Oryctolagus cuniculus: one gene and its partners. The main gene of each other region encodes a partner of the protein of the gene in region 2 in a complex. Links are inferred from orthologs where the notes say so. Each region holds a gene or a part of one and is shown on either strand. Other genes may lie near its edges.

Region 1 (3,500 bases), on a different chromosome or scaffold from region 2:
TCTGGATTTTTCACTCAAATTGATTTTTAAAAGAGATTTATTTATTTATTTGAAAGAGTCATAGAGAGGCAGAGAAAGAGAGGGAGGGAGGGAGGGAGGGAGGAGTTGTGGGGGAGAGAGAGAGAGAGAGATGTCTTCCATCTGCTGGTTCATTCCCTAGATGGCCACAACGGCCAGAGCTGTGCCCATCGAAGCCAGGAGCTGGGAGTTTCTTTTGGATCTTCCTTACTGGTGCAGGAGCCCAAGGACTCGGGCCATCTCCTTCTGCTTTCCCAGGCCATAGCAGAGAGCTGGATTGGAAGTAGAGCAGCTGGGACACAAACCAGCATCCATAGGAGATGCTGGCATTGCAGGTGGCAGCCCTACCCACTGCATCACAGTACCAGCTCCTCAGATTGTTTTTTTAGTTTAAATTAAGGTACTCAGATATGTTTTATAAAAGCCATTTGATGGGGCTGGCTGGCACAGTGGGTTAAAACCCCAGCCTGCAATGCCTGCATCCCATATGCGTGCCAATTCAAGTCCTGGCTGCTCCACTTCCAATCCAGCTATTTGCTATGGCCTGAGAAAGCAGTAGAAGATGGCCCAACTCTTTGGGCCCTGGCACCAGCGTGGGAGACCCGATAGAATTTCCTGGCTCCTGGCTTCACATCAGTTAAGTTCTGGCCGCCTAGGTCATTTGGGGAGTGAACCAGTGGAATGGAGTACTTTCTCTCTCTCTCTCTCTCTCTCTCTCTCTCTCTCTCTCTCTCTGGCTCTACCTCTCTTTGTAACTTTTTTTTTTTTTTAAAGATTATATTTATTTATTTGAGAGGTAGAGTTACAGACAATGAAAGGGAGAGACAGAGAGAAATGTCTTCCTTCCATTGGTTCACTTCCCAAATGACCACAATGGCTGGAGCAGCGCCGATCTGAAGCCAGGAGCCAGGTGCTTCTTCCTGGTCTCCCATGCAGGTGCAGGGGCCCAGCACTTGGGCCATCTTCTACTGCTTTCCTAGGCCACAGCAGAGAGTTGGATTGCAAGAGGAGCAGCCGGGACTAGAACCGGCACCCATATGGGATGCCAGTGCCGCTGGAGGAGGATTAACCTACTGTGCCACGGCACCAGCCCCTTTAACTCTATCAAATAAGTAAAATAAATTTTTTTTATAAAAAGGACCGTTTGAGAAATTCTTAACTGGAAAAGTCTCAGTCTCTGGGTTTAAGTATTTTTTCTTTAAATTGAGTATTTTTACTAATAATTACTTCACTAACTTTTGACATTTAAATAAAAAGATAATCTTTTCTTAAGTGTTTTCTTAAAATATGTCTTTTTAACTAGGAACTGATGAATCTCCAGAACCACTGCCAATCCCCACGTTTTTGTTGGGTTATGATTATGATTTTCTGGTGCTTTCTCCATTTGCTCTCCCTTATTGGGAGAGACTTATGCTGGAACCCTATGGATCTCAAAGAGATATAGCCTATGTTGTACTGTGTCCAGAAAATGAAGCCTTGTTAAATGGAGCCAAAAGCTTTTTTAGAGATCTTACTGCAATATATGAGGTAGGTATTGTTTAAAAAAAAAAAAAAAAGTGGCATTTTAAAACTACCTTATGATCTGTATGCTTATATGGAAAGTATAGTGGGAAGTTTCAGTGAATGGGGCAGAGTAATGATGATGTCAGACCAGGTGTTTACTTCTAACACTAGCCAGTTAAATCCTTTGGCAGTTCTAACTCAGTCTCTTGGCTAGTTTTGTGTAGAAATCTGTTTTTGGGGAAAAACATTGAAGGCATATATGAGGATACTTCAGAAATTTTATGTAAAAATGAAATTAAAAGTTGTTTATTTTGGGGTAAAAATTGTGCAATTCTTGTGTTTGCAGGATCTTCAAAAAGTTCACAGAAAATATATTATTATGAAAAATGTATATTTCAAAATTTTTTGCATGAAAAATAAACTTAACCTTTCCACTCCATTTTTCCATGAAAATTTTGAAATACCCTTATATATTTTATTTAAAGTAACCATGTCTAAAACAATTTAAAGCATTGTTAAATAGCTAGGAGAAAAAAATTAACCTCTGTAAAATTTCTCGTACTGATTCTATGGGACGGGTTGGGGAGGGTCTGGCTCACGAGCCATATAAAGCCTGTGAAATCATTTGGTTTGGCCCTGCTGAAGGCAACCAGAGGCAGCACTTGAAATTCAGTAAATCTCTTAAGTTAGAATTTTCATGTTGTATCCATCTCTGTGCACAATGATTGTATACTTTAAGAATTACGCATAGGACATAAGGTTTTACTGTATTGCAACTTTTTTCCACAAATATATGAAAATCCAGTCTGTACATTTTTAGTTTCTTTAACTGAATTTGTTAGTGTATACTAGTTTAGTTTCCTTGTAAGTTTCTTTTTAATACCAGTGGATCTGCTGTATATGTTTTATAAATAAACATTCCCCAAGGAGTGTTAATTAAATACAAGTCCTAAAAAATCCTCCCAGCAAGAAGTTCCATAATTAAATAGATTTGGGAAAATCTTGTGTATTATATTGAACTTTCAGTGATTCACAGTAAATTTCCTACTCCCGTGTTATAAACTTATTTGTCATTGAGCTTCTTAGAAAATTTGGTGGCCCACAGAACTAGAGGGAGAGCTGGGAGAAACTGTATTTCAATACCAAATTTTAATTTACATTGAATATGTATTTATATACATGAATTGGCATAGATGTATGGCTATAACAAAAAATGACTGCTTTTTGCATCATTCTTTATTCTGTAAACTTTGATTATTCAGAGTAAATGGTTTTAGTGCAGTATTATTATTTAGATACTTTTTCATTAGGGGTGTCTAAGTTTTCACAAAATTTAATGAATCTCTAAAGGAAGAAGACTAGTGGTGCCATTTCACTACTGATATTGTTATATAAAATGCTCATTATAAATAAGATTATTTAAAATAGCATAAATGCTTTAATATACTAAATACTGTAGTACATTGACTTTTTTGCTTTCTGTATGTATATTTATAGTCCTGTCGATTAGGTCAACATAGACCGATTTCTCGACTGTTGACGGATGGGATCATGAGAGTTGGATCTACTGCATCAAAGAAACTATCAGAAAAGTTGGTAGCAGAATGGTTTTCTCAGGCAGCTGATGGTAACAATGAAGCATTTTCTAAGCTCAAACTTTATGCACAAGTCTGCAGATATGACCTAGGTATTCAATTTGTTTTTATTCTGTAAGACCAGTATTAGCCAAGTGTGGCCTTGTCCACCAGCTATTTTCATAAATAAAATTGTAATTTGATCACAGTTATCTTCCTTTATTTGCATATTGTCTGTTTTTGTGCTACAAATTTAGAGCTGAGCAGATGTAACCGACAGTGTGGGTTGTGAGGCCAAAAGTACTTATTATCTGAATCCTTACAGAGAGAGTTTACTAATCCCTCATGTAGGGTTCCTATCAGGCAGGAGGAAATTTTATTTAAAGACTATTTTCTATGCTTTTG
Region 2 (4,169 bases):
TGGCCCAAGTGCTTGGACCCCTGCACCCACGTGGGAGACCTAGATGGGTTCTAGTCTTTACTTCTGCTTTTATCAAGGTCAACACTCTAGTTCAGGCCCTATTCATCTCACATTTGGGCAAGTGTAGAACTCCTAGCAAGTCCCTGACCTTTTGCCCCTTGCAAACGCAGCTTCCATGGCACGGTGCAACATTCGGTACGGTATACTCTCAACTGGTACAAGAAAGCTACAGACTGCTCCAAACTACAGTTAAAGCAAATGAGAGTCACTTGGCATTGGTACCATGATATGGGAAGTGTCTCACCTGTGTGGTTCCCCCAGCAGGTCAGGTCTATTGACGCAGAGGTGGGGCTTCCCAGAAAGGGCCGGGCTCAGTCCTGCAAGCTGAGTTCCCCAAGGACTGTCTCCCCCACTGCCATGCTTTGAATGTGTCTGCCGCATTCATGCATCTAAGGAATGCACCAGAAGGAGCTGTCACACCAAGTCATATATCTGCAGCAGACAAGGAGACCACAAGGAGTCATTTCCAAAGCCGTGACTCTGTGAGCAGGGGAGAGGGAAAGATGAGCAGGTAAGAGGGAGGTTCTGATCACACCTGGGGGTGGGTACAGGTCCATGAAGGTACAGTTTGGAAGAATGCTCCAACACTGGCTGCACCATACGGCAGCACAGCTCACACTCCCCCTGGGGTGGAGCTCTTAGTGTTAACATGAAGCAAAAGGTGAGGTGTGGATACTCTGTGACCCGCCTGCGCCGGCCTTGCTCCTGCAGTAGGGTCCCGAGCAGTCCAGGATAGCTAGGGAACTGCATCTCTCTCTGGCATGTGACAGCAAACCTGAACTACATCAGGTGCCTTTGAGATGTGCAAGTAGAGATGAGTCAGTTGACAGTTTCTGAGCTGTGCAGGGCAGTGATAGGGAAAGGTGACTCGGCCCTTCTGAGTGGATTAATCCACTGGATTACTGGGGTAGCCCTGGGCAGGCGGTGGGTGTGTGGCATGGTGGCTAAGGCACTGCTTGGGACAGCTGCATCACAGGGCTTGAGTTCGAATCCCAGCTCTGCTCCTGATTTTAGCTTCTGCTAGTGAGCACCAGATAGGCAGCAGGTTATAGCTGGAGTGGTTCCCAGGTGGGAGACCTGCACTGAGTTCCAGGCTCTGGCTTTGGCCAGGCTCAGCCCCTAGTTGCTGCAGGCACTTGGAAAATCAATCAGCAGATAGAACTTAATCTGCCTCTCTAATAAAATGACAATATATAAATAAATTTTTAAATACATGGGAAAGTAGGACAAACCACTAAATAATCCCACAGAATTCAACGATCTCGGTAAACAGCTGACCACCTCACAACCTGAAAGGGAGCCCAGTCGCGCAAAGGATGCCGGGCCCCAGCCGCTGCAGGTCCAGGTAGCTCACCCGGCGTTCTCCCCGGCACCCGCCCCTCCTCGCGGGGCGTGTCCTCCATGACCCCACCCCTTCCGGAGAGCCGCACTCTGATTGGCCGTGACCCGTACGAAAGCTGGCCAATCGCGTAGGAGCAGCTGCTGCAGCGTCTCTGCGTGCGGGAGGAACATGGCGGACCGCCTCACACAGCTGCAAGACGCCGTGAACTCGGTAGGCGCTTTAATTCGCTTACTTGCGGTCTGCCTCATTCCTGAGGTAAAACGGGGGAGGAGAAGAGGCCCGAGACGCAGCCTTCGGCGGTGGCGAGCAGATGGAGGCGGTGCCTCTGCGAATTCGGGGCGTTCGAGGCCGGCCGCGGGGGCCGCGGAGGGAGCAGCCCCTTTGCCCGGCGGCGGCCTCACGGGGCTCGCCGGACACTGGTGCTGGGGGCGGGAGGAGAAGAAAGCAGACGCGGTTCTCTGCGTATACCTCGGCCCCGGGGCCCTGGAGACTGCGTCTCGGTGCGACGCCTTAGCCGGGCTCCGGTACTTCGAGGGGCGGGAGCAGGAGCGGTGGCGCCTGGAGAAGTTGTGTTCGCTCCCTCAGGCGGGGATGGCGAGAGCTGACGTCTGGAAGCTTGTGAACCTTGTGTCGGGCGTTGAGGTCCCTGGGTTTGAGAAGCGGCTCCCCTGGCGTTGTCCCTGGCGATGCTTTGCACCTGAGAGTGCGTGCGAGCCCTAGGCCCTGGGCTTGGAGCGGCCGCTGGCTGCCCTGCCTGCTGGGGCTGCTGTCCCCGGGCGGGTGCCTGGGCGGGCACTGTGATTGTTCACCCCCCAGCCCTTGAAGCTGACGAGCCGAGCGCTTGCAGAGCGCCAGCGTGCTGTGAACAGCGCGGGAGCTTGCGAGGCTGAGCGGGCAGCCACCGAGTGTGGGTGACATCCTGCCAGGCCCTCGGGGAGCTTCTACACATGCTGGTGCTGGATGGAAGCCTTCCTTCGTGGCCTGGCCCCTGGAGGCGAGGCAGGGCGGAGGGAGTGTGGCCTCTCCCCCAGGGGGAGGCCTGCTGGTAGCTGGGGTCTCCAGAGAAGCCTTCAGGGTACGCCATGAGCGCCTGCTGTGTCGGAGCCCAATCGTAGTTCCAAAGGGACAGCCTGAAGGGCATAAGGATGATGTCACATACTCAGGGGACGTTTAAATGATGTAAAAACACTATGGGGTTAGGGAGTTAGAATGAATGCGGTGTTTTCAGCTGTCAGTGCTGAGTAAATTGGAATATGGAGCCATGCGCCCTGAAATACTGAATTATCGTAATCGTAATTATTCATGTCGTGTTCACCATATTTGTGTTACGGCTGTTAGGTTTATGTTCGTTTCTTGCCGTGGAGTTTTTTTCAATCACTGTTTGTTGAATGAACGTCTAAATGGATCTTGAAAGCTTGTGAGGGACAGTACAGATAGCCACTGTGTTGAAGGGTTTTTTGTGCGTTTCCGCTGTTTGTCCGGTTAATCAAACCAGGATTAGAATCTAGGTTTATATAGCTTCCAAGCTCTTCCCCCTCCATTGCAAATAGCAAACCAGCAAACTGATAACTAGCGAGTAACTGTGAGGGAGTAAAATGTGAAAAATGTTTAGGAAGAGCTGGCTGAGATTATTATTGAAAAGTTGGAAACCGCTTGCTGACCGCAGTGGAGTGAGCCGGCGGTTTTTGTGCAGGGGGGAATACGATGGGTAACCAGAGAACAGTGAGGGCGCGATTGCAGTAATTCTGGCAGGAGGTAAGTGATGGAACAGAAGGGGGAGAATGAACCATCCGCGGGATAGGAAGCTGGAAGGCATGAGGCTCTGGAATGAGACTGGTTGGCTAGGACGCTCTCAAGACCAGTTAGATACTTATCCGGGGAGCAGGTGACTTCGAGTCCGGCCATTGCAGTCATGGCGGAGAAGGGCGGTGGAAATGCTTCCTCACTGATGGGAAATAGGACTTGAGGTCTGAGAGGTCAGGCCTAGTGAGAGGATTGGTGGGGAGCTGTGGTCCCTGGTTGAAGATGGTAAGGCACTGGTTTCTCAGTCTTGAGAGCTGCTGAAGGAATACTTTAACAACGCGAGCCTTAGCACTGCATTAGAAAAGGCACCTTATTTCCCCTATTTCTTTGCCTTGTGAACACTGAGATCTCAGAAAAGGAATTGTATATGAGTAACACTTTTTTAAATTAAATCTGGGGCCATACGTGGAAAGTCTCGTTGCCTGTAATATTGGCACAAAATTGTCTTTATCATTCTGTTAGCTTCAGAAGACAAGAAAGATGATACAAGTTTGCATGGGCTGCAAAATTTTTTTGCATAAAAATATATTGATCTTTTAATTCCATTTTTACTGTCTCATCTAGATTGATATCAACACCACCTAGGTTGATACTAAGTTTATTTGCATGGTTGAAATATCTAATCATTGTTAACACACTGGCTTGTTTTATCCGAAATTACTCCTTTCTGATTCACTCCCCTGCTCAGAGAGCATTGTTTTGGGAAACTTGTTGCCATTACCAGCAAAAGCTTTAGACTTGATAAACTTTGTATAATCCTGACCTGTTTTCTCTGGCCCAAGCTTGCAGATCAGTTCTGTAACGCCATTGGAGTGCTGCAGCAGGGTGGGCCTCCTGCCTCTTTTAACAACATTCAGACAGCCATTAACAAAGACCAGCCTGCTAATCCCACCGAAGGTAAACAGCTTTTCTTGGCTTCCCTTTATTTGATTCTCGGACTTCGTGTAATCCTTTAAATTAGATT
Region 3 (4,286 bases), on a different chromosome or scaffold from region 2:
GCTCAAGTATTTGAGTCCCTGCCACCATATGAGAGATGCAAGCTGAGTTCCTGATTCCCAGCTTCTGGCCTGGCGCAGCCATGGCTGCTGTGGGTATTTGGGGAGTGAACCAGCAGATGGGCGACTTCTTTCTCTCCCTCTGTCTGCCTTCCAAATAAAATAATTTTTCAAAAAATTTGAAAAGCTTCACCACTGCTTTCCAACCACCTGGCTAATACTAAGCAAAGTAGTAAGTGCAGCCTTCCGCATTGAAAGGGAATAGGTTTCTGGTCATAATATGCCCCTTGCAAATGTAATTGGCCTTCAAGTCAAAGTGTCTCTGGAACAACTTGAATGGCAAACACACATACACGTAGTTCAAAAAGTTTGTGGAAAAACCTGAATTAAAAGCTTATTTGGATATAAAAAGCTTGTAGTCTATACTTGGTTATTTCATATTACACAATTTTTCAAGAACTTCTGGAAATCCCTTACACATGGACTCCAAAAGTTTTTTGCACCAATACAAACTCGTCTTTTGGATCCATTTTCCATTTACTTTTTGAAGGACCGGCATGTGTACGGAAACAGTTGTGAGTGTGCAGTGTTTTTTAGTTATTGAATGCAAAGCATTTGGGCACAAAGATCGCTGCTGGAAGACACAGTGACATCCTCCACATCTTCCTCACAGGTACTTCTGTGTGATCTTTTATTATCAGTCAATGGCTATGTTGCTGCATGTGAGGACCAGAGTCCTTCAGACCAGAAACCCAGAGAAATGGGGAGACTGGTAGAGAGGAGGTCAAGAAGACTGGGCCAGATGCGGCCGGGCCGCAGACTTCACTGCCAGGAAGGGAGGGCCCCCCAGGTCTAAGGAACAGACAGCATGTTCTAAGCTACAGTTCCCAGGGACCACATCGGCTTCTGGGTAGAAAATCGCGTTGCTTTATTGGCTTTGGGTGAGGTAGTGAGGAAAGAGCAGAAAACAGAGCCAACAGTGAGTGATTTCTGCAGGAATCCAAATTAAGAGGTAGGCAGTGACAACCGAACGCGCAGAACGTGCAGATTCAACATACATTTTTACCAGTGTGAAACTAAGAAGTATTTACGTATCCACGTTTTGGGTTTTAGTAAAACATACATACACCGAGGATTACAAAAAATTAAACTTACTTTAGATACTTGGCATATTCTGGTTCTTTCCAGTACAGCAAGTACTTAAGATAATTAACAAACGCTTTGTCTTTGAAGTAACCTCTTTGAGCAAGAACTGAAAGGCATAAAAAAAAAAACAAAACCTAGGTCAGACGGATGCTTGGACTACCACCAGCCCACAAGTCCTAGTTTGCTCAGTTACAGCTACAGAATTGCTTTAAGTGCAATTCTATTCAATTGAGAATATATAAAAGTAGATACTATTAGGAAATGCAACTCTTGTCAAAAAATCATTAATAGCTATTCAATTTAATTAGGTGAACAACTTACAATTAAGGTAATTTGGGTTGGCTAAACACTGTACAAATTCCAACTCTAACTGAAACCGAAGTCGATTTCCAGCATCATCTAGGAGAGAAGACAGCAAAAATCATCCAAGACAAAGGTCGCTAAATACAACACCGATGGGTCGAAAGGAAACAGCAGCCAGGAAACCTGCGTAATGCTGAGCTACACTTCTGGGAGGCATAATTCCTTAGGAACCTAAGAAAAGGAGAACTCTGATTAAGGCAGCTAGAAACCCCTCTAACGTTGAAGAGAAGTCATCAGAGACAAGGGGAACACAGATGCGGCAGGAGACCTCCCTCGGTGGGTCACTGGAGCCATCTCAGCAGTGAGTGACCGGGTATGGGGTGACAGTCTACCTCCCTGTATTTTATTAATACACTGTAGCTACTGTCGATGGCGGTGAGGAGCTCCGAGTGCGAGCTAGGAGACTGCGGAGCGCCGGAAGACCCCGAATGGCAGCATCAGTGGCAGGATAACGCAAGTTGGTCCAGGGCGCCCCAAACTCATGCAAGCTCCCGCGGAAGCAGACCCAAGTGCTGTCTGGTGACACGACTGTCACTTTCAGCCCCTGTTTATGCTCCTGGTGGTCTTCCTACTTTTGACTGGCTCTATATTACGGTTCGTGGTGAAATAAGCCGTTATTATAGACTGTATCAAATTTATGCCTTGGCAACAAAAAAAATGAAAAGTAGGGGAGGGAACGCGAGTGGGGGGAGGAGGAGAGAGGGAAGTATGGGTCTCCTGGAACTGTACCTATGCAATCTGTTCTCTTTATACTAGTTTTTGTTTTTTTTTTAAAGAAAAGATTCCAGTGCTGTCCCTCAGTCTCACCCACGCTGGGACGAAGGTGGGGTCGCTGAGTGAACAGCAAGCGGGGAGAAAACATGTGCGAAGCCACCAAACTCTGAAAAAGGCAAAGCTGCCGGCACCTTCCCAGATGCTCCAAGAGCCCTCTCGCCTCCCGGGTCCCACTCCAAGCCCCTTCCGTTAGGCCTGAAGGAGGCCCCGGGCAGGCAGGAGAAGGGGTCCGGGCGGAGCGCACGGCTCAGAGCGCGACTCACCTGTCTCCATGGCGACGGCGGCGGCCATAACAAGGAACGACGCGAACTCTCACCAGCTCGGCAGAGACTCTGCCCAGTCTGGCTGGGGAAGTTCCGGAAGCCTCAGCACCCCGCTTCCGGCCCCGGGGCACTGTGGGATACGGGGGCGGGCCCAGCCGCGCTGGGAGGACAGCGGTTCCGCCCATCGCTGCTGGCTCCGCCCGCTCGGGCTCCTGAGCCGGGCGCTGCGGCCCGGGGAGCGCCGTATTTGGAGGTGTTTCACGTCAGCGTGTAGTGGCATTGCCGCCTAGGAGGCAGGTCGCTACTGTGACGTCATTTCTCACCTCGTGACGTAGCGTAGAGGTGTGCTGAGCGGTCCCCTCAACACCTATAGAATGGCCTCGGCCCTTGGGGGAAAGCCGTCCTCACCCCAGTGTGGACACCTCGCCTTCCAGGAAGCGGCGCCCTCGTGCCCTCCCGAGTGCTCAGGGCCTCGTCAAAGCGGCTGGAGGCGAGGCTGCCTACTGTGTCCAGCCGGGTCCCCCAGTCGCCTTTGGCTTCCTGGAGGCAGCCCACATGTCGGTGTGAGAAACAGCCCAGCCGCGGTTCCTGGGTTCCTGCGCGAGCCGCGCCCTGGGCCTCCCCACGCGTGACAAAGCCCGCACGCGGGGCTGACGGGCAAAGAGGCGGAGAGTGGTGGTATAGAGGGATGGACGGGGAAGGCCTTGCTGGTTAGGCCACAGTGGAGCTGAGACCTGTGTGGTGACACCGAGCGCCCCACCCCCACCCGGGGGTCTCAGCGGAGTGCACCCTAGGCCGGAGGAAGAGAAGTGCGAAGGGTGTGTGGGAGCAAGCTTGCAACGTTCCCCGAGAGAAGAAGGGAGAGCTGGGAGCTTCGTGTGTGAGAGGCAGAGAGGGGACGGCAACAGGCAGGACCAGTTTCTAGAGGGCCTTTGAGTCACCACGGGAACTCAGGTTCTAGTCTAACAGGAACACGCTGCATAGTTTTCGGCACAGGACTGACATGATGCAACCGCATTTTTAAAATACCTTCTGCCTTCCGTGTGGGCTGCAGAACAGTTGTTCTCATCCTGGAGGGGGGGGGGAGGATTTTGTCCCCCAGGGGATACTTGGCGATGTTTAAAGACGTTTGTGTTAGGTACAAGGAGTGCTGCTGGCAAGTCGTGGGTAGAGGCCAGGGATCCCAGCACCAAAACCACAGAATCACGGGGCCTAACGTGTCAGTGGTGCCCAGTTGGAGACGCGCTGCAGCTGGGAGAGGAGAGGCCTGGGAGAGGCTCCAGAGGAGGGTGGGAGGCCGTGCCCTCCCCTGGACAGTGTGTGTGTGTGTGTGGGGGGGGGGTGTCTGTTGCTTTTTGACCCTGCCTTGCAGTCAGTGATTTACCCAGCAGGACAAAGGGGTCTTCCAGCAGGCCAGCGATGGCCCAATTGTGTCTACTACTGGGAGCAGAACATCTGCCATTTCCAGTCCATACTCGGGCTCCTACATGTAAAGGCAGGGCAGTGAACCGGGCCATCCCCTGGAATAGGGGCTCAGGCCAGGAGAAGTCATAAAGCCCCAGAGGCTACCATAAAACTGCTGCAACCCAGTCCTTAGACTTGGGAGTTGCAGTCTGTGGTGAGCTTACTGATTCTTTTTTTTTTTTTTTTTTTTTTTTTGACAGGCAGAGTGGACAGTGAGAGAGAGAGACAGAGAGAAAGGTCTTCCTTTTGCCGTTGGTTCACCCTCCAATGGCCGCCGCG
Region 4 (4,126 bases), on a different chromosome or scaffold from region 2:
AGTAGAAAAAAAATGGCATGCTGAGTTCAGAAATGATGTGAGAAAGTTCATCTTTTTTTTTTTTTTTTTTTTGATAGGCAGAGTTAGACAGTGAGAGAGAGAGAAAAGTCTTCCTTTTCCATTGGTTCACCCCACAAATGGCCGCCGGCGCGCTGCGCCAATTCAAAGCCAGGAGCCAGGTGCTTCCTCCTGGTCTCCCATGTGGGTGCAGGGCCCAAGGACTTGGGCCATCCTCCACTGCCTTCCCGGGCCACAGCAGAGAGCTGGACTCCAAAAGGAGCATCCGGCACAGAATCCGGCACCCCAAGCGGAGGATTCGCCAAGTGAGCTGTGGCGTCGGCCGAAAAAGTTCATCTTAAGAGGCTTGAAACAGAACTTCTGCCCCCTTGTTCATTAAATTCACCTAAAACGACGGCCTTTTATAATCTTGTTTATCTGGAATTATCTTGTTTTTCTTGCTCATTACCCTTCAAAAATCTGACATTCCATGATTCTCAAGGTATAAGAATAAGACAACCAAGACTCTTTTAAATGGGAGGCAAAGACAATTTTTAAAAAGCATGTTTAATTTTGTATTCAGAAAGTGAAAGATTGGCCGGCGCCATGGCTCACTTGGCTAATCTCTGCCTGCGGTGCCGGCACCCCGGGTTCTAATTCCGGTTGGGGCGCTGGGTACCAGTCCTGGTGGCTTCTCTTCCAGTCCAGCTCTCTGCTGTGGCCCGCAAGTGCAGTGGAGGATGGCCCAAGTCCTTGGGTTCCTGCACCCGCATGGGAGACCAGGAGGAAGTACCCGGCTCCTGGCTTCGGATCGGTGCAGCACTGGCCGTAGCAGCCATTAGGGGAGTGAACCAAAGGAAGGAACTGTCTATAACTCTCTCTCTGTCTCTCTCTCACTGTCTAACTCTGCCTGGCAAAAAAAAAAAAAAAAAGTGAAAGATTGAGGCTGGCACTGTGGCATAGTGGGTAAAGCTGCCGCCTGCAGTGCCAGCATCCCATAGGGGCACAAGTTCAAGTCCTGGCTGCTCCCCTTCCGATCCAGCTCTCTACTATGGCCTGGGAAAGCAGTGGAGGATGGCCCAAGTTCTTGAGCCCCTGGCACCCATGTGGGAGACCCAGAAGAAGCTCCTGGCTTCTGGCTTCGGATTGGCACAGCTCCGGCTGTTGCAGCCAACTGGGGAGTGAACCAGATGGAAGACTTATCTCTGTCTCTGCCTCTCCTTCTCTCTCTGTGTGACTCTTTCAAATAAATAAATAAACCTTTAATAAAAAAAAAGTGAAAGGATAACTTTTTTATAATGCCAACAGTAAATAAAAGCACTTTTTAAAAAAGGATTTTTCACCTTAAAAAAGAGGAAGGGGAGCACTATCTTTTTAAGTTGAAGAAGTGACAATCAACAGCTAGCTACCTGTAAATTCTCTCAGCTTCTTTCAAACAGAATCTCTTCTCCACTATTTACCGTTTGTAAACTTTAACTTTGCCCAAGAAAATATTTCAGTGACAACAATGTAAAACAAAAATATGAAAGGGAGGAAAGCCTCTACAGCACTTCATAGATCGACTGTACAACAAGAAAAGGCTTTTCTGAAAGTTAACAAGCCCATTGTTTTTCTTATGCAAATGGTTAAAAAATGAATAAAAACCGATTCTATTCACAGAAACAAAACGTAAGATACATTTACTAATGCTCTTAGAATGAAAAATTTACACTAAGATACCTTTATCAAGCTCAGTTCATTTTTGCACTACAAAGGAAAGCCTAGTCAATGTTCAAGTAGGTCTAACACGCACCTTCCCGTCTGCTTAAACAAACGTATTTAGGGACAAAGTTTTTGTATCACTCTAACACGCTCGTGGTCGCTGACAGAACACAAATTTACTCATTACAATCAATGAGAAATGCAGTTTTAAGATAAAATGTAAGACACAGATAAGGAAATGGATAAATTTTTAGAACATGAAACTCCACCTAGGCATAGTTACTGGAACCGATCACGAGCTAGAAATAAGCCTGCTTCCCGCCTATCCTCTGATTAATATCAAACCCACTCGACACAGAAGGTAAATGGCAAAGTACCACGAGGCCGATATCCTGAAGAAACCCCGGAGAAAAGGAAGCCACGACTCTGCGAACAGGCTGCCTCACGGTCCCGACCTCACACTTCCCCTACCTGTGCACACCTCGTGCTACCCGACTAGCTAATCCCAGATCCAAATCAAAGTCCTGAACCTTCCTTCTCCCACTCAACCTCCTTCCCCCAGCTTTCCCGCTCACAGATCCTTCTCCCGCAAATCCCGGCCGGCAGCCTGGGAGGAGAGTCGCCTCAGACAAGCGCACTTCACTCCCGCTGCTGCCGCCTCCCACTGGGACCTCACCGGCGCCGCGGACCGGCGCCGGGATCCACACGGAGGGGAGTTGCAGGCCCCGTTCTCACCAACCCCTAAGAACCAGCACCGGCCGAGAACGCGGAAGATCACTTACTAGTGGGAGCTCTGCCAAAAGTTCCCTGCCATGGAACACAGCTTGCCCTGATAAAAAAGCACCAGCCGGCGGAGCGGCCCGCGGAGCGACCATAGACCCAGCCCGTCCGGTAACCGCGCTCCTAGATCGGATCAGCTCAGCTTGGCTCAGCGGCGGCTACGGCGAGAGGAAGAGGATGGATCCCTATTCTTTTTGACGCCGGCTGGCAACACTCAACCAGTAAACCCGTTCCTACAGACAAAAGTTCCGGCCCGTCCTGCAGTAGTTGAGGAAGCGAGGCGTCAGACGGGAACAAGTCCTCGGGAGGGCTTGCGTCGGTCGGAAAGCTCTCGCGAGAGTTTCGTGCCGGTTCCGGCTCGGAACCCGCGCAACCTTTGTGTTCTGTTCTCGCTGGATTTGCTGAATGGAGAGATCTTGGAGCAAGCGCCCAGTTTATAATTTTGTGGTCCATCTTTCAGGTATCCAAAAAGACATAATGACTTTATAACAAAGTACACGATTTGTTGACTTCCCTTTTTCCTGCGCTTGGAAAGAGAAGTGAATCATGATTTTGACTCCATCTATCAAGCGTTCTTAGTTTCTAGCAGACAAACGGTTTATTTATGTAAAATGCAGTTCCAGAGACAAAGAGATGCCTTGCCACCCTGCTTCACTCAAGTGGCTGCAAGGGCCGCGGCTTGCACCATGTCTAGGCAGGTGCCAGAATCTTCTTTCAGTTCTCCCACGTGGATGCAGGGGCCCAGGGACCTGGGCCACCTGCTGCTTTCCCAGGCACAGTATTGGAGGTGGAGTAGCTGGGACGCAAACTGGTGTGCCCTACCCCACAATGTGTTATTTGTTTTGTTTTGTTTACAGGCAGAGTTAGTGAGAGAGACAGAGAGAAAGATCTTCCTTTTCCGTTGGTTCACCTCCCAAATGGCCACTACAGCCGGCGCACTGCACCAATCCGAAGCCAGGAACCAGGTGTGCTTCCTCCTGGTCTCCCATGCAGGTGCAGGGCCCAAGGACCTGGGCCATCCTCCACTGCACTCCGGGGCCACAGCAGAGAGCTGGACAGGAAGAGAAGCAACCAGGACAGAATCCAGCCCCCCGACCTGGACTAGAACCCAGGGTGCCAGCGCTGCAGGCGGAGGATTAGCCAAGTGAGCCGCCGGCGCCAGCACCCACAATGCATTCTTTTTTTTTTTTTTTTTTTTTTTTGGACAGGCAGAGTGGACAGTGAGAGAGAGAGAGAGAGAAAGGTCTTCCTTTGCCCTTGGTTCACCCTCCAATGGCCGCCGCAGCCGGCGCGCTGATCCGATGGCAGGAGCCAGGTACTTATCCTGATCTCCCTTGGGGTGCAGGGCCCAAGCACTTGGGCCATCCTCCACTGCACTCCCGGGCCACAGCAGAGAGCTGGCCTGGAAGAGGGGCAACAGGGACAGAATCTGCTGCCCGGACCGGGACTAGAACCCGGTGTGCCAGCGCTGCAAGGCAGAGGATTAGCCTAGTGAGCCGCGGCGCCGGCCAGCAGTAGTGTTTTAATTCCAAAGAATCACCAGTTTGGGAAACATCTAAAAATATGTAAGCACATATATATTTACATGTATGCACATATATGTTCCAAAAAGAAATGTACTGAAAAATGTCACTTTACAAGATGAAAT
Region 5 (4,085 bases), on a different chromosome or scaffold from region 2:
GACAAGTCCTCAGATTAGGAAAACTGAGACTGACCCCCAAAAGACTCATCCCCATCACGAGCCTCGGCAGGACCCAGACCTGGAACAGGAATGCGGGGTTAGGAAAGAGGGACACGCTTTCAGCTCCTGACGGAGGCAGAAAAAGGCAGTTCATTGTTTGAATGGGGTGAGAAACACTGGAAAACAGGAACCATGGCTATTCTATGACAAAAAAAATCAGAAACTGGGTGAAAGCCTCCTTTCTGCCGGGAAACAGGAGCCATACTTCAGCAGTAGGCTGGATCTAAAAGACAGCCACATTAGTGGCAAGAGATCCAGCATGGACTGAGATATAGTGGGAAGACCCACTGAGAGAGAACTCCTGACCAGAGATGAAAAGGGTAAGAATCAAAAGCGGCCAGCGCCACGGCTCACTAGGCTAATCCTCCACCTAGCGGTGCTGGCACACCGGGTTCTATCCCGGTCGGGGCACCGGATTCTGTCCCGGTTGCCCCTCTTCCAGGCTAACTCTCTGCTGTGGCCAGGGAGTGCAGTGGAGGATGGCCCAAGTGCTTGGGCCCTGCACCCCATGGGAGACCAGGAGAAGCAGCTGGCTCCTGCCATCGGATCAGCGTGGTGCGCCGGCCGCAGCGCACCAGCCGTGGCAGCCACTGGAGGGTGAACCAACGGCAAAAGGAAGACCTTTCTCTCTGTCTCTCTCTCTCACTATCCACTCTGCCTGTCAAAAAAAAAAAAAAAAAAAGAATCAAAAGCTAGAAAGAACGTGGCTGGGCCGGTGCCTTGGCTCACTTGGTTAATCCTCCACCTGCGGTGCCAGCATCCCATATGGGCACCAGGTTCTAGTCCCGGTTGCTCCTCTTCCGGTCCAGCTCTCTGCTGTGGCCCAGGAGGGCAGTGGAGGATGGCCCAAGTGCTTGGGCCCCTGCACCCGCAAGGGAGACCAGGAGAAGCACCTGGCTCCTAGCTTCGGATCAGCGCAGCGCCGGCTGTAGTGGCTGTTTGGGGAGTGAAGCAACGGAAGGAAGACCTTTCTGTCTCTCTCTGTCTATATCTCTACCTTTCAAATAAATAAAAATAAAATTAAAAAAAAAAAAGAAAGAAAGAAAGAACGTGGCTTGGGAAACTGGGCCGCTCTCTACTTCCTTGCCACGGAGGCCCTCAGCCAAACTTCACTTACTAAATGTTGGGAAACCAAGCTCTTTCCAAATTACCCGACATCTGCAAACTGATAAATGGTTACATCATCAGAGATGAACTACTCGTCAGGAGCCCTCCCCAGTTTGCCCTGGCAACCCTTACCAGGTTAGCCTGTCATACTCGTTCTCCAGCTTGTAAATGAAACTTCCCAGTGAGTTCTTCAGATCAGCCACTTGACTCAGCAGTGCATCTAATGACGCCTCCAACTGCTTCTCCTCCCTCTGCACCAACAGAGATGGGCTGGTTACCCAGAGAGATATGAGCATGACACCTTTAGAAGAAGGCTGAAAAGCGTCGGAGAGAGTATGCCAACCGCAGTTGGCTAACACCGGATCTCACTGGAATGACAGCCAGGTTATTTTCTATCTTTGGTATTTGGGTTACAGACAGCACCAACCCTTAGACCTTTCACCTGACCTTAAGTCCTCCTACCAACTGATTCTCGCTCTCACACCTCCAAATCCAGGCCTGCTTTTCCTCTGTATTGCACGTGCCCTACTCTCCCTTGTTGAGAAACTCCTGCCAGACATAATGCCTGGGATTCATCATCCTATGCACATTTCTGTGGCACGTGTGCCCTAGCTTCCTTCGTCCTAGAATCTGCCCTGTTCTTGTCAACAGCACAGCCCCTGCGAAATCTGCCTGGACATGAAGCTTTCTCTGAACCCTAGTTCTGCACGCCCCTGCCCCTCGCTCCTCATTCGTGCTTAGTGGGTGATGTTTCAACTTTCTCCTTTATTTCTGTGCCAATATTCCTGTGCCTCTTTCACAAGCTCAGCTGACCCAGAAGGACTTACTGAAACACTGCCCCATCCAAGAAGCAAAGCGACAAGTGAAAAGCAAAACCACCCACCCAGCTCACATGACAAGCAATGTCAAGTAGTGGGGGTCTGCAGGCATTCCCTTCCCACGGTGTGGGGGGGTATCTTCCGTTTTACTTCATTTCCTCCGTCTTAATAACTCTCAGGCACAGACTGGGAAAAATGATGCCAACCCCACACTGCGCCTGACAGGAGCATCATCTTGGGTTTCACCCAAGGTTTCAGTTGATAACAACTTAGCTTCTGGCCAGCTCGGCCCACAATTCCTTCACCCTTCGGGCTTCTCTCCGATTGCAGATTCGCCGTTACGTCTGCATCCAACAGCCTAGGCTGAGGCTTGAGCCAATTCATGTCTCTCTCGGGCCGTCTCCCTTGGATTGTATCTCGGCTTTCGCAAACTACATCCTGATGCTTTCCCAGCCCCAAACAAGCGGCGGCTGCCTCCGCCCTCCCGACTTTGCTAGTCTCTCCCCTGTCAGCGGACTCCGCCCCCACGTAGCATCCGCGCCGCTTCTCCACTTGGCCTCGTCTCCCCTCTGCCCTGGCCCCGCGTCCTCTTGCCTCCGCCCTCTCCTCTTCGGTCCAACTCCTAACTCTCCGCAGCCAGCCCACTCTCGCTGCGTTACCCAAAGACAGCTAGCTGCCACTAGGCCCACCCCGCTTCTCACCTGCATTGCGGCAGCCGTGGCAGCCGCAACCACTTCCTCTTCCGGTTTCCCAGTTTCTGAGGGTTTTGTCCACCAATCAAGGAAATCGGGGCTTGGCCCGCCCACCGACTTCCGGTTCCGGCCCGGTACTGAGGTAGCCAGGTCAGGGGTCACAGTGGATCTGCCTCACTGGCCCGGGCCGGCGCGGGAAGGCTGTGTGATGGCCTCGGAGCGCCCGGAGCCTGAGGTGAGGGGCGGGCGGGCGCAGAGCTGGGCCCTGAGACCCGAGCGGGAGGAGCGGGCGGTGCGGGCAGGCGCGACCTCGGCCTCCTGGCCGGCCGACGGCCGGGCCGCGTAGCGTCGGCAGGGACCCTTGCAGCCCCGCATCCCCGCAGTCCGTTCTTTCCTCCGGAGGCTGGAGGAGAAATGCTTCGCTCGCTCTGTTGTGCTTACTGAAATCTCTTCCGCGTCGCCGACTTGACCTAGTGACAGTGGTGTTAATAAACCCTGTGATTTGGTTCCTGTCGCGGTTTCAGTGCGCTGGACGGCAGCAGCCGGTGCGTGTCTTCAGACACGGGCGTGCAGTAAACAGCACGAGTTAATTTAGTTTTAGCACTCATGATGGGGAAAGCAGCTTTGGTTTTATTGGGGGGGGGGGGGGGCTTGGCTCGGAGTGAGACCCAGTTCGGATTTTAGCGCTGCTATTTAGCTCTCTCTGAAGCCTGGGGCAAGTCTTAACTTCCTGGATTCTGTTTCTTTGTTGTTAGTCTGTTGTGAGAATCACGTGTGTGAAGCCAGAAAAGGCTTAAGCTCTCTCTGTCAGATGCCAAGGACCATGCAAGCAACTTTACATACATTGTGTCATTCACGTTTGCACAATATCCATTCTCATTTTCAGAAAAGAAAACTGAAAAGTAAGATAGGTCAAGTGCTGTACATACGCCTGAGAGTAGCAGATTTTTGGAGTTAGAAAATCTGAGCATAAAATCCCAGATTTGGGTAGAGATGCCCAGCACTGTTGGAGAACATACCAACAGATGGGAACAGTGAGGAATGTGTGTAAGAATGCAAATAGGCCGGCGCCGCGGCTCACTAGGCGAGTCCTCCGCCTGCGGCGCTTGCACTCCAGGTTCTAGTCCCAGTTGGGGCGCTGGATTCTGTCCCGGTTGCTCCTCTTCCAGTCCAGCTCTCTGCTGTGGCTCGGGAAGGCAGTGGAGGATGGCCCAAGTGCTTGGGCCCTGCACCCGCCTGGGAGACCAGGAGAAAGCACCTGGCTCCTGGCTTCCGATTGGTGCAGCGCCGGCCGTAGCAGGCATTTGGGGGGTGAACCAACGGAAGGAAGACCTTTCTCTGTGTCTCTCTCACTGTCTAATTCTGCCTGTCAAAAAAAAAAAAAAATACAAATAGTATACCTTACCTG
Region 6 (3,500 bases), on a different chromosome or scaffold from region 2:
CCGGAGGCCGCGGGCAGCCACGGCCACACCCTGACCTGCCCGCCCACCCGCCCAGGGCTGGCCCTGGCCTTCCAGGACGGCAGCGTCCACATCGTGCACCGGCTGTCCCTGCAGACCATGGCCGTCTTCTACAGCTCCGCGGCCCCGCGCTCCGTGGACGAGCCGGCCATCAAGCGCCCGCGCACCACGGGCCCCGCCGTCCACTTCAAGGCCATGCAGCTCTCCTGGACGTCCTTGGCCCTCGTGGGCATTGACAACCACGGGAAGGTGAGGGCCGACAGGGCCGGCGCTTGGCCCAGACCCCCCCCCCGCGGGGCCCCGCCCCCTCCTGACCGCCCCCCCCTCCTGACGCCCCCCCCCCACAGCTGAGCCTGCTGCGCGTCTCGCCCTCCATGGGCCACCCCCTGGACGTGAGCCTGGCCCTGCGGCACCTGCTCTTCCTGCTGGAGTACTGCATGGTGACCGGCTACGACTGGTGGGACGTCCTGCTGCACGTGCAGCCGGCCATGGTGCCCAGCCTGGTGGAGAGGCTGCACGAGGAGTCCACGCGCCAGAGCGCGGCCCTGCAGCAGGTGGGGCGGGGGGCGCGGGGAGACCGCGCCGGGACAGCCGGGCGTCGGCCCGTCCACGGCTGCGGTTCGAGGCCGTGGGTGACGCAGCCAGCGTCCGCTCGGTCCCTGCCACCGCGCTGGCACTGCGGGACGGGGGGGGGGGGCCCCAGCCAGCGTCCGCTCGGTCCCTGCCACCGCGCTGGCACTGCGGGACCGGGGGGGGGGGGCCCAGCCAGCGTCCGCTCGGTCCCTGCCACCGCGCTGGCACTGCGGGAACGGGGGGGGGGGCCCAGCCAGCGTCCGCTCGGTCCCTGCCACCGCGCTGGCACTGCGGGACGGGGGGGGGCCCAGCCAGCGTCCACTCGGTCCCTGCCACCGCGCTGGCACTGCGGGAACCGGGAGGGGGGGGCCCAGCCAGCGTCCACTCGGTCCCTGCCACCGCGCTGGCACTGCGGGAACGGGGGGGCCCCCAGCCGTGCGCTGCCGGGAGGGAGCTCACGCCGCCCGCCCCCAGGTGCTGTCCACCCGCATCCTGGCCATGAAGGCCTCGCTGTGCAAGCTGTCGCCCTGCACGGTGACCCGCGTGTGCGACTACCACACCAAGCTCTTCCTCATCGCCGTCAGCTCCACCCTCAAGTCCCTGCTGCGCCCCCACTTCCTCAACACGCCCGACAAGAGCCCCGGCGACCGGCTGGCCGAGGTCTGCGCCAAGATCACCGACGTCGGTGGGTCGCCGTGCCGGGCGCTCGCGCCGCAGGACACGCTGTGGGCCGCCGGGGGTGGGGGGTGCGCTCGCCGGGCTGGCCGGGTGGGTGGTCCGGCGTCCCCGGCGGAGGGCCGGAAGGGGCGGGGCCGGAGGGGCGGGGCGGCGCGGCTCCTCCCCCGCCCGCTGGCTCCGGCGCGAGGCCCGCCTGCCTTGCAGACATCGACAAGGTGATGATCAACCTGAAGACGGAGGAGTTCGTGCTGGACATGAACACGCTGCAGGCGCTCCAGCAGCTGCTGCAGTGGGTGGGCGACTTCGTGCTCCACCTGCTGGCCAGCCTGCCCAACCAGGTGCGCCCTGCGCGCACGCGCACACGCACGCCGGGCATGCCCCCCCGCCCCCCGCCCCCGGCCGCTGCAGGGTGCACCCGCTGTCCCCGCAGGGCTCCCCGCTGCGGCCGGGCCACAGCTTCCTGCGGGACGGCGCCTCGCTGGGCATGCTGCGGGAGCTCATGGTCGTGACCCGCATCTGGGGGCTGCTGAAGCCCAGCTGCCTGCCCGTCTACGCGGCCACCTCCGACACCCAGGACAGCATGGCCCTGCTCTTCCGGCTGCTCACCAAGCTCTGGATCTGCTGTGAGCCCCGCCCCCGCCCCCCCCCCCCGCGGGCAGCCGCTCGCCGGCCACCTCCGTCCCCCAGCGTCCGGTTTCTGGGGACCCGGCCTGGCCATTCCTGCGCCCCCACGGGGCTTTCCAAGTGGACGGGTGGAGCCGGGGCCGGAGCGGGAGAAGGGACTGCCCAGGGCCCCGGCCACCAGCCAGGCGGGCGAGGGCGAGCCGTGCCCGGGGCAGACCCGACTCGCATCCCTGCAGGCCGTGACGAGGGCCCGGCCAGCGAGCCGGACGAGGCCCTGGTGGACGAGTGCTGCCTGCTGCCCAGCCAGCTGCTCATCCCCGGGCTGGACTGGCTGCCGGTCAGCGACGGCCTGGTCAGCCGCCTGCAGCCCAAGCAGCCGCTGCGCCTGCAGTTCGGGAAGGCGCCCACCCTGCCCGGCAACGCCCCCACCCTGCAGCTGGACGGCCTGGTCAGGTGCGTGCGGGTGCCGGGAGCGCTCGGGGCAGCCGCGCTGCGTGTGGGAGCCCAGGTGCCCGTGTGTGTGTCCGGGTGCGGGAGTCCCGGGGGGAGGGAGGGGGTCTGGCCCTGTGTCCCGGGGACCCGCGCCGTCCACCTGCGGCTCCTGCCCTGCCTCACGCGCCCCCTTGGCCCCAGGGCCCCCGGCCAGCCCAAGATCGACCACCTGCGCAGGCTGCACCTGGGTGCCTACCCCACGGAGGAGTGCAAGGCCTGCACCAGGTGAGCCCTGCCCCTGCCCGCCCCCCCCCGGGGGGCTGCAGGGGAGGGGGCGGCCCCGCCCCCATGGCGCAGGGAGCAGGGCTGGGGGTGGGAGGGGTGGCGCTGGATGGTAGGGGGCGGGGCCGGCGTGGGGGCGGCGGGGTGGTCCCCGGAGGCCTCACCCCGCCCCGCCCGTCCGCAGGTGCGCCTGCCGTGAAGCAGTGGGAGGAGGGGTGGGGGTGGGAGGGGTGGTGCTGGACGGCAGGGGGCGGTGGGGGCGGGGCCGGCGTCGGGATGGTGTTGGGGGCGGGGCCGGCGTCGCGGTCCCGAGGCCTCACCCCGCCCGCCCGCCCGCAGGTGCGGCTGCGTCACCATGCTGCGGTCCCCCAACAAGGCCACGGCCGTGAAGCAGTGGGAGCAGCGCTGGATCAAGAACTGCCTGTGCGGGGGGCTGTGGCGGCGCCTGCCCCTCAGCTGCCCCTGACCCCGACGCGGGCGCCCCGCGGAACGTCCCGTGAGCGGACGGAGCCCCCGACAGGGCGGCCCGCCGGCCAGGGCCCTGCCCAAGATGGCCGTCCCGTGTGACTGCCCGGGTCGCCTGTGCCTGTGGGGGAGGGGGAAGGGCTGGCCCAATAAACCCCCCACAGCTGTGCCCGTGTCCCGCCCCTCACTCGTGCCGGGGCCCCGCCCCCCCACGGCTCTTCCTGCGGGGCGCGGCTCACTGCCCGGCCCCCTCCGCCTCACAGCCTGGCAGCCAGGGGGTGACCGCCCCGGGGCAGGGGGCCCTCGCAGCCCTGTGTGGTGTGTCTCCTGGGTTCTGTCACCGCCTCCCCCACACCCCGTCTCGTCCCAGACCCACGGGAGCTGAGCGTGGGCGCTTGGGGAAGCCACGGGGGAGACCTGGGACAGAT
Region 7 (4,198 bases), about 57 Mb from region 2:
AAAAAAACACCATGGAAGCAACCCAAACTTCCATTATTGGATGAACAGATAAGCAGAAGGTGGTATAGACAAGTAATGGAATATCAAGCAACTTCAAAAAGGGAACTCTGACACTTGCTACAGCATGGATGAAATTTGAGGACATTTTGCTAAGTGAAATAAGCCAGTGACAAAACAGACAAATAATGTATGATTCCACTCACACAAAGAAGCCGAACTCACAGAAACCAGAAGGATGCTGCTTTCTAGGGACTCCCTGGGGCGTGGGGAGGAATGAAGCTAGATTTGTTTTATGAGGTGTGAATGTTGCAGGCATGCCAATCTCAACTTTTATTCCAAGTTTTTGTCCCTGCAGAGGTAAGAATTCAAAACAGAGCAATACATACAGAGCACGAGGGAGAAGACGATTTATTGAAAGAGTGAATATACATTCTCGTGTGAGTGTGGGCATCCCTGCATGGAGAGATGCTTGTCATGAGTGGGCCAGAGTTGCCTAGGAGGAGAGAGAGGGCAAGGAGACCAGAGAAGGACCGTAAGTATGCTCCTGAAGCCAAAAAAGCAAAAAAGGAGTGTTTCCACATTTATCAGTCCCTTTTGTGAGGTACTGGGTGGTGCTCTGATAAGTATGCAAACAGCATGGAGTTCAGTGTGAGGCAGTTTCATGGTGCCTTGGCTAGCAACTTACCTTCCACGTGGTCATTATGGTTCCCTTCCTTCCTGATCCCTGATGAGGCAGGTGCATCATGGGAAAGGGGGCACACTGGGTTGACAGGTAAGGGGGAGGAGTTGCCATGCAGGGTTATGCAGAAATTCTGAGAAACTATTCCAGCTCAACTCTTTCTACCTAATCTTCATGCCTAGTTCCCCCATCATTAAAAAGAGTTTTCTAGATGCACAATAGTGTGAACATATTTAACGTCACTGAACTACACACTGAAATAGCTAAAACCGTGACTTTTACGTTTTGTGTATTTTGCTACAATGAAAAAAAATAGGATCACAAATGGTTTTGGTTCCTGTGCTGAAAAGCTTACTGCAGCTTCCAAGAGCCATGCAACAGGAAGGTTAGAACAGCATCATGGGAATGCAGACTGCAGAGACAATCCTGGGGAGACACCAGTCGAGTTTATGAAGAAACGGACATAACAGGTAGGCAAGTAGGTAACTCCCTGAAATGCTCAAAAACCGTTTGGGAGAAGCCTTCCATTGCTGCTTGAAAAACCAGAAGGCCCAGAAGAATCGGACTGAATCGCCCCCTCCAGTCTCACTCCTTGGGCGCTCCCTGGGTATGTAATGGAGAAGCCCGGCTGGTCCAGCAGATGGCGCTAACGCCCATAGTGCGCCTCCAGTCGCCTAGGCGGCGCTCTGGCGGTACCGCTCTTCCCTACGTCTCGGTGACCCTTCCTTCCGCTTCCCGAGCCCGCCTCTTCTCCCACTAGCGCGGAGGTGCGCCTGCGCTGGTTCCTGGCCCTGGGGAGCATGGCGGCGTCTTCGAGTGGTGAGAAGGAGAAGGAACGGCTGGGAGGCAGCTCTGGAGCGGCAGGCGGTAACAGCACGAGAGAGCGGTTGTTATCTGCGCTTGAAGATCTGGAGGTCTTGTCGAGGTAATGGCGCCGGCCTGAGAGCCTGGCTGGGGCTGGGCTGGGGGACTGGCCCCGGAGCCCGCCGCCGCCGGCCCTCTGCGCTCATTCCTGGGTCTCGGCGGGGAGGCCTGAGCTTGGGAGTCCCCGGTGCTTGAGTGTTAAGGATATGGGGTCTGCAGATCTCTGGGACTCTGGGCAACACTTTTTTCTTTGCCGTCAGAGAGAATTTTAGTCATGACAGCCACCCTGGAAGTCCAAGACGGCAAGAGCCAGAGCGAACCTTAAGAGGTCTCGCGTTGGGAGACTGGCACTAATGGGCTGCCCCTTGGGCGCCAAGCACTAGGAGACTGTCGTGAAGGGGAGGCTGGGTGCCGACGCGGAGGAGCCCGGGGTCAGGGAGAGACAGGTGGGTAAACAGTGCTGGTGCGGGGCTCGTTCTTGTCCGAGCAGTGCGTTGCGGGCCCGGGAGTGTAGTCAGGGCAGGCTTTGGTTGGAAAGAATGAATTCATCGGACTCAGCAGGTGGCAGGGAGGTGACATAGTGTGTGCAAACCTTGGAAGTCGGAGGCCCCAGGCCCTGGCGGAGTTGTAAGGTGCTGGGGATGGCCGCAGAGCAGCATGGGAGACGGGATGGGATCTTGTTCTGCAGGCTCTCAGTTTTCACGGTCGTCTTTCAAGTCGGGGCCTTCCTGTCTTCTGTGGTTAACCTGGATCTAAGTTGTGTTGTTTTTGCAGCCTGCCAAAAGTTTCTACTTTCTTTTGTACTTGATATACTTTGTCATTTTATACTGCTGAGCACCATCGTTATTTTAAAAAGCATCTCGCATCATTCTTCTTAAAAAATACTCGATAGCCCGTATAAGCAGAGTCAGGCCCAGTGTCGGGTTTCTGTCAAGGAAAGACCAGATATATGATTATGCTGTGGTGGTCCCTTAGGATTATAATGGAGCTGAAAAATGCCTGCAGCCTCGTGGCCTTGTTGCCCTCTGTGCTCGTGTTTGTGGTGACGCTGGTGTGAATGGGCCCACCTGCTGCCGGGGGCGTGAAAGTGTAGCACATACAGTTACACACAGCCCCTCATTCCTTTTCTTTAAGGTTACTTATTTGAAAGGCAGAGTTACAGAGAGAGGGAGAGAACGGGAGCGAGCTTTTCCATCCACTGGTTCACTCCCCAGATGGCTGCAAAGACCAGGGCTAGGCCAGGCCAAAGCATGGAGCCTGGAACTCTGCCGGGGTCTCCTGCCTGGGTGGCAGGAACACAGTACTTGGGCTGTCTTTCGCTGCTCTCTCGGCACATTAGCAGGAAACTAGATAGGAGGGGTATCTGGGACTTGAACCCGGAGCTCATATGGGATGCCAGTGGTGGCTTCACTGGCTATGCCATGATGCCAGCCCCCGTCCATAATTCTTGATAATAAATGACTGTTACTGATTTATGTATTTACTGTGCAATACTTTTCATTGTTATTTAGAGTTTATTCCTCCTATTACTTAAAATTTAACTGTTAAGCAAAGTGCCACATTCTGCTGGGAGCAGCCTCCTATACCTTGTTTTTGCTGGGAACTGTTGATTGCGTCAGGCCACAGCAGGTGGCCGCTCCTGTCTGGGTTTGTGTAAGTACAGTCACCTCACCGTGCATTTGAGGGATGCCTGACTACTTCCCATGTCACCGCCAGCTGTACTTCGTCAGTGCCATTCCTACTCTATCTCTAGCTGGCTGAATGATTGAGTTGTCTTTCAGCATCTGTCTCAAATGTCACCATTTCCGTAGCCAGCATTCTGTGACAGCAAATGCCGATCTGCTTACACTCAAGATCAGTACTTTGTCTTTGCTGTGAATTTAGCCCTTGCTGTACCATTACTTACCAATGTTAAGTACAACATTTAGTGATGTAATGAAAACCTAAAAACACGCAGACAACAGAAGGTAAATGGCTTATAAGCTTCATCCACTGTTTACATTGTAGTAGGATCACAAACAGGGCACCTGGAATTTTCGGTCAGCCATTGCTCAGTACAGGAAACAAACTCACAGGCACCAGGCAGCTGTCCAGGCTTTGCCTCCAAGTGTTTACAGACGGAGCATGTCCATCTTCGCTGGTTTAGTAGTTTATGGTGGAAAACTTGTCAGTTCCCTCATTAGCCAATCCTCTTAACATCAACATCCACATTATTTCTTAGTTAACAAAAAAAACACACTAGCAAGGTATTTAGTATGATGTTTCAGTTAAATTATTCACGTGTCTGTTCTGTGTGACATCATCTGTGAGACAGCTAACTGAATGCTCATTTAGTTCCTGTTGAGTTCTCACTGTTTGTAGTTGCTCAGCTCCAAGTTACCAACATAAAAGCTGCCTAGCCACTGCTGTTTTTTTTTTATTTTTTTTTTTTTATTTTTTTTTTTATTTTTTTTTTGACAGGCAGAGTGGACAGTGAGAGAGAGACAGAGAGAGAAAGGTCTTCCTTTGCCGTTGGTTCACCCTCCAATGGCCGCCGCTGCAGCCGGCGCACCGCGCTGATCCTGGCAGGAGCCAGGAGCCAGGTGCTTTTCCTGGTCTCCCATGGGGTGCAGGGCCCAAGCACCTGGGCCATCCTCCACTGCACTCCCTGGCCAT

The links.
Region 1: MED21 (region 2) and MED13 share a complex: the UniProt entries of both Homo sapiens proteins name them as parts of the mediator complex. The link is inferred for Oryctolagus cuniculus from reciprocal best matches to the Homo sapiens genes MED21 and MED13.
Region 3: MED21 (region 2) and MED31 share a complex: the UniProt entries of both Homo sapiens proteins name them as parts of the mediator complex. The link is inferred for Oryctolagus cuniculus from reciprocal best matches to the Homo sapiens genes MED21 and MED31.
Region 4: MED21 (region 2) and CCNC share a complex: the UniProt entries of both Homo sapiens proteins name them as parts of the mediator complex. The link is inferred for Oryctolagus cuniculus from reciprocal best matches to the Homo sapiens genes MED21 and CCNC.
Region 5: MED21 (region 2) and MED8 share a complex: the UniProt entries of both Homo sapiens proteins name them as parts of the mediator complex. The link is inferred for Oryctolagus cuniculus from reciprocal best matches to the Homo sapiens genes MED21 and MED8.
Region 6: MED21 (region 2) and MED16 share a complex: the UniProt entries of both Homo sapiens proteins name them as parts of the mediator complex. The link is inferred for Oryctolagus cuniculus from reciprocal best matches to the Homo sapiens genes MED21 and MED16.
Region 7: MED21 (region 2) and MED4 share a complex: the UniProt entries of both Homo sapiens proteins name them as parts of the mediator complex. The link is inferred for Oryctolagus cuniculus from reciprocal best matches to the Homo sapiens genes MED21 and MED4.

Annotation. Positions count from the first base shown.
Region 1 is NC_091448.1:35,497,117-35,500,616, forward strand, and holds part of MED13 (mediator of RNA polymerase II transcription subunit 13), read left to right. Parts: intron 1-1,321; coding exon 1,322-1,545; intron 1,546-3,018; coding exon 3,019-3,208; intron 3,209-3,500. UniProt on the Homo sapiens protein: Component of the Mediator complex, a coactivator involved in the regulated transcription of nearly all RNA polymerase II-dependent genes.
Region 2 is NC_091440.1:124,254,533-124,258,701, forward strand, and holds the start of MED21 (mediator of RNA polymerase II transcription subunit 21), read left to right. Parts: upstream 1-1,369; 5' UTR 1,370-1,570; coding exon 1,571-1,612; intron 1,613-3,987; coding exon 3,988-4,102; intron 4,103-4,169. UniProt on the Homo sapiens protein: Component of the Mediator complex, a coactivator involved in the regulated transcription of nearly all RNA polymerase II-dependent genes.
Region 3 is NC_091448.1:49,926,482-49,930,767, reverse strand, and holds the start of MED31 (mediator of RNA polymerase II transcription subunit 31), read right to left. Parts: upstream 2,801-4,286; 5' UTR 2,572-2,800; coding exon 2,544-2,571; intron 1,543-2,543; coding exon 1,465-1,542; intron 1,250-1,464; coding exon 1,153-1,249; intron 1-1,152. UniProt on the Homo sapiens protein: Component of the Mediator complex, a coactivator involved in the regulated transcription of nearly all RNA polymerase II-dependent genes.
Region 4 is NC_091436.1:72,156,737-72,160,862, reverse strand, and holds the start of CCNC (cyclin-C), read right to left. Parts: upstream 2,801-4,126; 5' UTR 2,513-2,800; coding exon 2,481-2,512; intron 1-2,480. UniProt on the Homo sapiens protein: Component of the Mediator complex, a coactivator involved in regulated gene transcription of nearly all RNA polymerase II-dependent genes.
Region 5 is NC_091438.1:129,634,664-129,638,748, reverse strand, and holds the start of MED8 (mediator of RNA polymerase II transcription subunit 8), read right to left. Parts: upstream 2,801-4,085; 5' UTR 2,693-2,800; coding exon 2,687-2,692; intron 1,438-2,686; exon of another isoform or gene 1,419-1,437; coding exon 1,300-1,418; intron 1-1,299. Other genes in the region: KICSTOR complex protein SZT2, read left to right, coding at 2,886-2,912. UniProt on the Homo sapiens protein: Component of the Mediator complex, a coactivator involved in the regulated transcription of nearly all RNA polymerase II-dependent genes.
Region 6 is NC_091447.1:58,469,058-58,472,557, reverse strand, and holds the end of MED16 (mediator of RNA polymerase II transcription subunit 16), read left to right. Parts: intron 1-55; coding exon 56-267; intron 268-365; coding exon 366-572; intron 573-1,065; coding exon 1,066-1,276; intron 1,277-1,473; coding exon 1,474-1,607; intron 1,608-1,699; coding exon 1,700-1,892; intron 1,893-2,129; coding exon 2,130-2,346; intron 2,347-2,526; coding exon 2,527-2,610; intron 2,611-2,946; coding exon 2,947-3,073; 3' UTR 3,074-3,241; downstream 3,242-3,500. UniProt on the Homo sapiens protein: Component of the Mediator complex, a coactivator involved in the regulated transcription of nearly all RNA polymerase II-dependent genes.
Region 7 is NC_091440.1:67,125,663-67,129,860, reverse strand, and holds the start of MED4 (mediator of RNA polymerase II transcription subunit 4), read left to right. Parts: upstream 1-1,398; 5' UTR 1,399-1,479; coding exon 1,480-1,604; intron 1,605-4,198. UniProt on the Homo sapiens protein: Component of the Mediator complex, a coactivator involved in the regulated transcription of nearly all RNA polymerase II-dependent genes.